3 linked regions of the Rattus norvegicus genome follow. The protein of the gene in region 2 interacts with the protein of the main gene of each other region in a pairwise test. Links are inferred from orthologs where the notes say so. Each region holds a gene or a part of one and is shown on either strand. Other genes may lie near its edges. The genes, in order: Dnaaf4, Spdl1 and Car8.

Region 1 (3,654 bases), on a different chromosome or scaffold from region 2:
AGGTATGTGAGGGTGTCTGATTTGGGAGTTACAGACAGTTGTGAGCCACCATATGGGTGCTGGGAATTGAACTCAGGACCTCTGGAAGAGCAGTCAGTGCTCTTAACGACTGAGCCATCTCTCCAGCCCCAAAGCATTATATTCTTAAATGAAGTAAATACATAAATGTATTCACAACACACCTAAACAGAGAAACGTACTTACCTTAGAAGAGTCCTCAATGGCCTTGTGTAAGTTTTTTAACTTGAGGTGGCAAGCAGCCCGATTCAAATACAGTACTGGGATCTTACGGTTCAATCGTATGGCTAAATTATAGGCGTCAATCGCTGCCAAGTAGTTTTCTGTTGCAAACAATTTGCTAATGAGACAAAAAGAAAAGGCCAATTTAACACTGAAACAGACATGGAGAAATAACATCTACCCTACTTGGCACTCAGTCAGTCAGTTTACCATCTGCCTTGTTTATTCCCAGTCAGATGGAGACCGCCTACCACAGACTCCGTCTCTCTACATACACCAAGCAAGCACACGGAGTAGGACAGATCCTCCCACACAAAGGCAGCCATCCTTTGCAGCAAGCGTATGTCAATCTTCCTTGATAAGTTGATTTATTTAGGGATAGGAAAGGGGCTTAAACTGGCCTGAATGAAGCTGGTGCTTTTGGCCTCAAGTTGGGGTGTGAGAAGCTGGTACAACTTCTCCCTCTGCTGGATACAGAGGAGGGAAGCACACAGCACAAATGCGGCTGCTCATTGTTAACCATAGGAGAAACTAGCTACATGAAAGCTGGTGCAGAGAGAACAGGAAAGGACAAGAACCAGAGGGAACAGCTCTTCACGACACCTGGAAGCTGTGAGCTGAGTGTGACACCTGTGTCAGCACACAGGCACCACCAACCAGCCTGGTGGTACAGACCTGTAATCCCAGCTGCTTCACAAGCAGGGGTGAGAAGACATGAGATCAAGGTTTGCTTGGCTTACACAACAAGCTGAAAGTCAGCATGGGCAATTTAGTGAGACCCCGTCTCAAAATAAGGAAGGAATTGCTGCAATCCCACTCCTTGAGAGGGAGAGAGGAGACCCGGGGTTTAAGGCTTTGTTTGGCCACACAGCAGGTTCCCCAGACTGTGCCATGTGAGCCGCCTGTGAAAACAAACAATAAGTGACATAATTTTAAAAAGGGAAAAGGACAGGGGATATAGGTCCGTGTTATAGCACTTGTCTAGATCATGAGGCCCTTGATTCAAACCCTGATACTGCAAAAATCTATTGGACGGACAGAGCGTGCACAGGTCAGCCAGCCAGCATCAGTACATCTTACTAAAGGGACACATGCCCCTTTGATTTAGCATTCAGAATGAAGCAGAGAGAGGAATTCTAAATATGATTTTAACAAATAACATGGACATGGTGCTAAAGGCCTACAATCCCAGGAGTTTAGAGGCAGAAGCAGGAATGCTGATATGTCAGTTCAAGAAGAGTAAATTTTGTTGGGTGGTGATGGCACACACTTTTAATCCCAGTACTCAGGAGATAGGCAGAGGCAGAGGGGCAGAGGCAGAGGGGCAGAGGGGCAGAGGGGCAGAGGGGCAGAGGGGCAGAGGGGAAGAGGGGCAGAGGGGCAGAGGGGCAGAGGGGCAGAGGGGCAGAGGCAGAAATAGGCAGCTGTCTGTGAGTTCAAGGCCAGCCTGATCTACAGAGCCAGTTCCATGACAGCTAGGGCTACACATAAAATCCCTGTCAAAACAAAGCAAAACAAAACCCAAAAACCTAGTAAAACAAACTCCTCAGAGGTATGAAAGCATATGCTTGGGAGGTGGAGGCAGGAGAATCATTGTGAGTTCAAGACCAGCCTAGCCTATATAGGGAGTTTCAGGCCAGCCTACAAAGTGAGAGCTTGTCTCCAAACCAAAACAAGCAAACAAACGAAAGTCATGGCTTGGTGCTCTCTGGCAGTGCACTCAACTGATTTTTCCTAGAGGAAAAGGGTCGTAAAAAGGGAAGAGTGACTTTTGCCTCCTCTGCACTTTGTCAACAGACTCTAAACACCAAGTACTGCAACAGACTAGGATAAGCTGTAAAGCACCATCAGTGGAGGACACCTGCGGCTGAGAGGCCACCTTGTAATGGCAATCCTATCATCCTTCTACAGGAAAAGCAGGGTGAGGAGACTGGCCTGTCTCTACAGACCTTAGTTTATTTCAACACAGGAGCAAAGGTAGGGTTCCTGGTCCTGTTCTGAACACATTTAGGTACACAGGTTAAACTAGGTAGCTCATACCTATGACCCCAGCACAGGCCAGAGAACTGCACAAATTCAGTGTTAGACTGGGCTACAAGAGAACCTGGCTCAACAAAATAAGGAGACAGCTCTCACGATCCCCTGGGACAATCTTGCGGTTTGGGGGCGCAGGGGAGGAATCTGCAGGTTGAAGCTAGGGCCTCATGTGTCACATGTGGGAGGCATGTTCTTGACCACCAAGCAGCACTCCCAGCCTGGCACTATCATTCAGAAGACACTGTGTAGCAGTCAGCCTTGGCAGACAGGGTCTCTTAGGAAGCAGCGGACAGATTCATACAAATAACAAGCATGATGATCCCTTTGCAGGGCAAGAGTTTGCAGGTTTTCCGAAACCTTCCACACAAAACTTTCATCCTGGGATGGCAAAATGGCTCAGTGGTTAAGAGCACCGGACTGCTCTCCCAGAGGTCCTGAGTTCAATTCCCAGCAACCACATGGTGGCTCACAACCATCTGTAATGGGATCTGATGCCCTCTCTGGTGTGTCTGAAGACAGCTACAGTGTACTTATAAATAAAACAAACAAATAAATCTTAAAAAAAAAAAAGCCTATCCTCCCTCAGCTCTGGTGGAGAGCTACTGTGGGTGAGAACCACACTCACCTAGCCTGCCTATGCACAGGCTCTGAGGGACTAGACTAGCAAAGGGAAGATCCATGAAGTGTATGCTGCTTGCTTTTGTCCCCTGAGAACCATCTGCCTTTTTTGGTGGTTGGTTTTGTTTGTTTGTTTGTTTGTTTGTTTGTTTGTTTTGAGACAGAGTCTCACTAGGTAGCCCTGTCTAGTCTGGAACTCACTATGTAGACTAGGCTGACACTCAGCCTCACCAGGCTTTTCAGACAGGGTCTCTCGCTGGGATCTGGGGCTCCCAGCCAAGTTAGGCACATGTGTCTAACTCTATGTCCCATGGGCTCCTTTTTTTCCTGGATTACTCTATGAGGAAAAAGTCAGTCTGTATGTTGCCCCTGATGTGTGTGACTCATTATATAGATGGAGCTGCTTCTGCCTCCAAGCTCCCAGGATTATAGGCCTTTGAAGTATTGAGGTTTGATCAAGGGCCTCATGATCTAGACAAGTGTTATAACACGGACCTATATCCCCTGTCCTTTTCCCCTTTTAAAATTATGTCACTTATTGTTGGTTTTCACATGCGGCTCACGTGGCACAGTCTAGGGAACCTGCTGTGTGGCCAAACAAAGCCTTAAACTCCAGGTCTCCTCTCTCCCTCTCAAGGAGTGGGATTGCAGCAATTCCTTATTTTGAGACGTGGTCTCACTAAGTTACCACCATGCCGACCTTCAGCTTCTTGTGTAGGCCAAGCAAACCTCGGCGGGGGCATTTTTTTCAACTGAAGT
Region 2 (3,654 bases):
TCTGTTACTGTGATGAAACACCATGACCAAAAGCAGCTTGGGAGGAAAGGGTTGATTTCATCTAGAGAAGTCAGAACAGGAACCTGGAGGCAGGAACTGATGCAGAGGCCATGGATGCTGCTTACTGGCTTGGCCAACCTGTTTTCTGATACTATCCAGAACCACATGTCCTGGGGTGACACCACCCACAGTGAGCTGGGCCCTCTTACATCCGTCATTAGGAATAAAATGCCTCACAGACTTGCCTACTGGTCAGTCTTGCAAAGGCATTTTCTCCGTTAAGATTTCCTCTTTACACATATATCTAGGTTTGAGTTAATTTGTCAAAAAACAAGCAACACACCAAAAGACCTGCCTGAGATACTGCTGCTCTAGCCCAGACCATAGCTGTCTTTCCACTGGACAGCTGCTGTATCCTTCTAACTGGTGGCCAGCTTTCATCATTACCGTTCATACGTCACATATCCAAGAGGTCATGAGAAAATAAACCATCTCCTTTCTTCCCTTCTGAAAGCCACATGGGGCTTTCTGTTGTATTTTTGGTATAGTCTGAGCTCTTTACTAGGTTTTGTATATTCTCGTGTTCTGCTCTCTTCCTAAGGGGGCAGCACATTTCAAATGTGTTTTCTGTAGTCTTTCCTATACTGGCTTTATATTGGATGTTTCTCCTGGAGTTACTCGTCCACTCTTCTTGACTGAGTCCTCAACCACAGACTGTCAGTCACATGTCCTGTAAGCATGGTGGCTAACACTGACTGTATAATGTAAAACTGCGAACTCTCCTGCCGATTATCTCCAGAGCTGCAAGCAGTGTGAGAGGAAATCTTGTCTAGTCTTACGCACTAACATACACCTATTACCTGCCACACAAATGGTTTTAAAATTACTAGATCAGTTTAATATTAAATGTTTAGAGTTTTAAAACTGAAGTTCGGGATTATCAGTATAGCAGGTGGACATCACTAATGACATGTTGTTTTCCCAAGAGCTGCTGTCCTTAGTAAGTACTCCATGCCCAATCACAAGGCGAAGATCATATATCTCAGAATGGAGACAAAGTCGGTGTGCAGAATTATATGGTAACACTATTAAATACCTTTTTAATAGACGTATACATCTTAGGAACCTTTTATAGTAGTTTTTGCAGTAGTTTTCGGGGTTAGTTGTTCCTCCCCCAAATCCCTCCTCTACCCTGCTTTATCTCATTAAAAAAAGAAAAGAAAAGAAAAAAAGAAACGGAACTGCAATACTTTTTAACCATGTCTATAGTTATTTTGTAAATGAAACAGTGCTCTGAAAGTATTCAGTATTTTTCCTCTTACCCATCCCACTGTTTTTCAAAGCAGTCAAGGAAGAACATCTCATTATCAGATAGTAATGCTTACCAGGAACATTGGAGTAGCGTGTCCTTTAACTTTGGTACGGTGTCCTTTGTTTTGTCTTCCCATAGGGATTGATGGACCGTCATGCTGTGAGGTTCATCCTTCCTTGACAGAAAACTGCAATTACTGTCCCTCCAGCACGGACTTGACATACTTCTCCTATCTATAGTTGTTCATAGATAACACATGGACAACTCTAGATATTTATATGAAATGATAATTTATAAATCTGTAATGGTTACGTCCTGCTTGGGTACCTGAAGCAGATGTTGCTCCTCTTGATGTCTCGTGAGGTCATTAGTCACCTAACACGATGTCAAATGCCTTACACAACACCTGACACATTTCATCTCATCACATGGATATTATACTGCCTCACATCTAAGAATAGTGACTGTAGTATAGAGATATTTGAGAGAAAAATGACACATAACTTTTTAAATTGCTTTTTTATCATTGGTTATATCATTAGTCTCTTATTCTGTCAAATTAAAAATTAAATTTTATTCAGTCAAATACTACATATTGGGCATGGGTGAGCATGGTATGTATAGGGTTTGGTACTGTTTATGGGTCCAAGCATCAGGCGGGGGTTCTGGAAACATATTCCTGGTAGATAAGGTACAAATGACATCCAGTGCTGAGCTTGGATGCCTGGCACAAGGTGATCTGCTGAACAGGATTCCCTTGTAGTCTGTGCGTCACAGCATCTGGCGTCCATGAGCATTTGCTCCTGCTGCTTGGAGAATGCGCTCCTATACCTGTTCCCTTAGAAAGTCTCTTCTTGGGTTGGGGATTTAGCTCAGTGGTAGAGCGCTTGCCTAGCAAGCACAAGGCCCTGGGTTCGGTCCCCAGCTCCGAAAAAAAAAAAAAGAAAAAAAAAAAGAAAGTCTCTTCTTAACTTGCCCCTGTCCTCAGTACCTGTCACTGTGGCTTAAGGTTGCTGAGTGTTTGCTTTAGATGGTCTTGAGGTTAGCTTTTGGAGTAAGCACAGAATGGATAGTTGTTGGAAAGGAGGGCTGAGTTTCTCTGAGGTGGTTATAGTGTTTCTGGTCTGTTGATACCAAAGGCCCCTTTATTTTTTCTTGTTGTCTCTCAAGTGGATTCTAATTATGGAAAGATTCTGTTATTGTACTGTTGTATTAAATAAGAAATAACTTACTGTTCTAATAATCAGCCAAATTCTTAGTTTGTGATCAATGTGCAATAAAGCTTACTACCATGTTAAATCTTACAGTTACACTTACAGTTATTTAGCCAAGAGCAAAACTTTTTCAGGAAATCCTTAACACTTTGCAGTCTGTTCCTTCTGGATTTGACATTCAGAGACTGACTCCTCCATTACTACTTGCTCTGCTGGCTTTCGGGGCAACAGAGACCACAGGTTGGAAGGCGAAGTCAGTAATTTCCTAGGACCAGTGTCTTTCCTTCTTTCAGCTTGAGCATTCTGAGACCCCTGCAGATCCAAATCCACCTTTTGGGGTTCATTAGACTGGTTACAGGTCTGGGCTCATAGGTCCTGAGTATAGTTCCCAGACACGGTGGAGCATGGTCCTATTGTTATCCAGCTCTGGAGCGTCAGAAGTAGGTGGATCCCAGCTCAGCCCATGGCAGTCCCTCCTGCCTTAGTTAGCAGGCAGGTTTCAGGTCAGTGAGAGACTCTGTCCCCCAAATAAGGTGGTCATTACCCGAGGAACAACACCTGAAGCTGTCATCTCTCCTACAGTAACATACATATACATGTGTGCTTCCCCATGTGAACATGATGTAACCCTGCCCCCAACTCAAAAAAGTAAACGAAAGATTAGCTATGTTAGCCCCAACTTGACAGGTGGTTGTTCCTTGGAAAGCAGCAAATGAACCAACCAGCTTAAGGTGCTAACTGGTAATATCCAATGATTTTATGCATTTAAATGTGTTTTCAGAATTATAACCAAGAGAAGTATGCCCTTCAAAGAGAAGTAGAGCTCAAGAGTCGGATGTTGGAGAGTCTGAGCTGTGAGTGTGAGGCCCTGAGGCAGCAGCAGAAAGCGCAGCTGGAGCAGTTAGAAATGCAGCTGCACAGAAGCCACCGGCAGGAAGTGCACGGCCTGAGAAACAAGGTTTGGATCTGTGTTCAGAGTGCAATTCCCTGTGCTTGCACGGTTATCTGTAAGCATTGGGTGCGTGGGGTGCGTAAGTTCTAGCTCTACAAAACAGCTAAGTTTCTCTATGTAACGCTTTGAGTGGAAATACCGAGAAACAAGCTATGGCAGGAATTTGTATACATGCT
Region 3 (3,654 bases), on a different chromosome or scaffold from region 2:
GGTGGACTGGAGCCTTGCTTCCTGTAGTTATTTTGGGCAAAAGCTAAGCCCCCAAAATGTGTTTGTGGTTTGTGCTTTATGTATTTCAGATAGGGAAGGAGCATGTTGGCTTGAAGGCTGTGACTGAGATACTTCAGGATATCCAATACAAGGTAAATCATTATTTAAACGAATGTAGAATGGTTTTGCGTGAATTCCCAGTGGCCATCTCTAGGCTTGATAACTCTCTAGAAGGACATATGGGACTCTGACTGGCTAAACTGCTAAAGTTAACAGTTATGGTTTATTACAGGGTAAGGCAGAGAAGGGAACATGGCTTGAAGCCTAGGGGGACCTGGAGCCAAGCTTCCTAGTGTTTCTTCGGGGTCCCTAGTTGTCCCAGCATGATGTGTTACCTGTGTGAACTTTCACATCCTTGGTGTCTAGAGAGATTTTCAGGGACTGATCATTTTTCATGGATTGCTTAGTCAATTTTCCCTGACTTCTTAAGCCCTGTTGTTATTTCTCTAACACTGAGCCAAGCCAGGCATCTATATATTTCCAGGATAAGCCTACTGGCTCACATTGGTGTAACAGGTCCCAAGGGTGGAGTTGAAAATCCCCAGGAGTTCACCTTAAATATGGCATGACCCAAGCCTTCAGGTATAGGAAAACATCTTACCAGGGGTGGGGGCGAGGGACTCCAAGGCCTCAGAGCCCATCTTCTGGAAGGCAGCCAAAGGGCTCCTCCTGAAGCCAGGGTGGAGTCCAGGAAGTGAGGATGAGACTTCCTCTAATAGCTTTTCCTCTGGCACCTATTTTAGTAAAGATGTTTCTGAGGGGCAGTTGACACGAGTTGCATATTCTGGCATTATAAATGAAGTTTGTATTCAAAAGCAAGCAGCTATAGACGCAGAGAAGGTATATTTTTCTGGATCCAGTCTATTTCACCCCACTGAGAAGAGTGGCCCACTCACTAATATTGGAAACTGGTAAGATCATCAGAAAAGTCTTCAGTGTAGAGACCTTTAGTTTTAATAATTTTTATTCGAAATGTCTATAACCTTTACATTAATGTGGACTGAATTAAGTTTTCTTTTTCCAGGGAAAATCCAAAACAATTCCATGCTTTAATCCTAACACTTTATTACCAGGTAAGCATTTATCTGACAGCCATTAATGAACTTTAACTGTGTGTAACCTTCCCGGTTTCCTTGATTGTTCATAAGCATCTGTAATTAGCTGACAAAATGTCTTTGGAATTTCTGTTCTCTGGACCAGGTGCCATTTCAGATCACTGTTGATAAGGCAGGAAAGCCTTTGAATGTTAGGAAACCCTTGCCTCTGCTTCCTTATTCCAGAAAGAACTTTCTCAGTGACATCATTTGTAAAATGCAAAGTGGCCACCTCAGTGTAAAGAACCCACAAACATCAAATAACTGATACACTTCCAAGACAACCACCTTATTGCTAGAATGAAATAAACATCATGTCTACTTTTATAAGGTTACACCCTTACAGCATCACCATTTAAATATTCTAATTGTACATATGCATGGGTAATAATTATATATAAAACATCCTGAATATAATGTGGAGTTATAGTTTTGCTTTCCACATTTCTCTGCTTACATTATGTGCTGTTCCATAGTGCTTCAAACTAAAGCAATCACGTTGATACATTGTATCCTCTCTCCACATTTAACTGCTCTATCACAAACTAGTTTTTCTCACATATTGAACACTTACCTTGGTCTCTATTGAATCCCCAGTTCTCTTAGGCAGTGCTAAGGAGTTCAAATAAGTGACCTATTTTCTCTGATCAGAAGTAGGGTTTTAGTAATGTGCTGTTGAAGAAGCAATGTAGAGATGGCTACAACAGAATGTTTAAAAACACCACCATTATTTAGGGTCAAGTCTTCCACCAGTTAGTAGCTGTGTGATCTTGGATAAATTGCTAACACTCTATAACTTAGTTTTCCCATATAAAATGGAATGGGGCTAATATGTCACATTTATTTGTTGAGAAGATTAAATGAATTGATATATACTATTCCAAAGAACACTCGACACATAGTTCAATAGAAGTCAGCTATGAATTAGCTATTATGAAAAATGGGTAATAGTTTCTGAACTACATTAAGGCATATGATAGAGCCATTGATAGAAATCTCTGTAAATGTAAAGGGAATTAATTACGGTTTTCATTGATTATTTTTTTCAAAAGTGGTAGTGTGAGAATTTGTATATGAGGCTCTAACTTAAAAATGGCTTCCATTTGAGAAATGTATGTGAGTTGACTGCCATTTTGAAAACTGCTGCTAAAGTGTTAAGTCATCAACTTTCGTAACATATCCATGTATTTGTGCAGACCCTCTTCTGCGGGATTACTGGGTCTATGAAGGATCTCTTACTATTCCACCTTGCAGTGAAGGAGTTACCTGGATATTATTCCGATACCCATTAACTATATCCCAGCTGCAGGTGAGTATTTAGATCTTTCAGAGTGAAGCTCCGGGGCTAAATATCCTTTCTATAAAGGGAAAATGTCTCAATGTGCTTTAGTTCCTGTTGTTAGACTGTCTTAGCTTTCAGGTGAAAGTTAAATGCTGGGGGCCAGGGAAAACTATAGAACAGTCACAGATGAATGATGCCCAATGCTCATTTATGGTCTGCATTCTAAAAGTTAGTTTTTGTAGAGTAAATAGAACTTTCCATGAAACAGCCAAACTTTGGTTAGTCTAGCCATTGCTTTATATGGATGTTTCCAGGTATGGGGAAGAGAAAGTTCTGGAAGTAGAGTCTGCTGATGATTTCACAGGCATGCAGTATTCTTTCTTGACATGCAAATAAATTACTGTGATGTATGAGGGTATGTGAGAGAGTCAGAAAGCAAGCCCTGGGAAGTCCTGGATTGTTCCCTGGGGTTGTTTGCTCTTTTTGTCCTTGGGTTCCACATAGATTCTCTAAATGCCAATGAAAGTCATCTGTGGAGACACTCATCCACAGGGATGCTAAGGTGATAAAATCATTTGAGTCCCGGAGTTTAAGACTCGACTAGGTACTGTAGCAAGATGTACCTGGAGGAAGAAGGAGGAGAGACAGCCCAGTAAATTTTGACTGGATTTTAGCTGGGAAAGAATGAATCAGCACCTCTCTTATGTGTTGATGGTTTTGAAGGGGCAGGGGATAGAGCTCTTGATGAGCGAGCGTGTGTGGTCCTGGCTGTGACTAACAGGACCACTCATATAGGAAAAAAAATGATGATTATAGCACAGTGCATAGAGGTTTGCAAGGTTTCTGTCTTTCCATATCTAAGGATCATATCCTCTAAAGCTGTATTTTCCCATCATGACCAAACACAAATGTTTAAGAAATAGAACCAAGTTTTCTTTAGGATTTTTTAAAAATATATCATCATTTCTTGAAATTAAGAAGCTCAAGTTTACTAAATTCTAGATTGATTGCTTTGCTAGTATTATTTTATTTTTAAAATATTATTTTCATTTGTATTGATTATATTGATTATACTGTATAATTTCCTCCCTCCAAAACCTCCCATGTTACCCTACTCTCAGCTCCTTGAACTGTATGGCTCTTTTCATAAATTGTTGCATAATATGTATATATATATATATACATATGTATTCATAAATACATAGATTTAGTCTGCAT

The links.
Region 1: the proteins of Spdl1 (region 2) and Dnaaf4 interact in binary tests that used the Homo sapiens proteins (3 or more experiments, as listed by UniProt). The two-hybrid records come from large-scale screens. The link is inferred for Rattus norvegicus from reciprocal best matches to the Homo sapiens genes SPDL1 and DNAAF4.
Region 3: the proteins of Spdl1 (region 2) and Car8 interact in binary tests that used the Homo sapiens proteins (3 or more experiments, as listed by UniProt). The two-hybrid records come from large-scale screens. The link is inferred for Rattus norvegicus from reciprocal best matches to the Homo sapiens genes SPDL1 and CA8.

The regions. Positions count from the first base shown.
Region 1 is NC_086026.1:82,585,112-82,588,765, reverse strand, and holds part of Dnaaf4 (dynein axonemal assembly factor 4), read right to left. Parts: intron 359-3,654; coding exon 205-358; intron 1-204.
Region 2 is NC_086028.1:19,791,741-19,795,394, reverse strand, and holds part of Spdl1 (protein Spindly), read left to right. Parts: intron 1-3,307; coding exon 3,308-3,484; intron 3,485-3,654. UniProt on the Homo sapiens protein: Required for the localization of dynein and dynactin to the mitotic kintochore.
Region 3 is NC_086023.1:26,144,277-26,147,930, reverse strand, and holds part of Car8 (carbonic anhydrase-related protein), read left to right. Parts: intron 1-89; coding exon 90-152; intron 153-1,084; coding exon 1,085-1,133; intron 1,134-2,350; coding exon 2,351-2,463; intron 2,464-3,654. UniProt on the Homo sapiens protein: Does not have a carbonic anhydrase catalytic activity.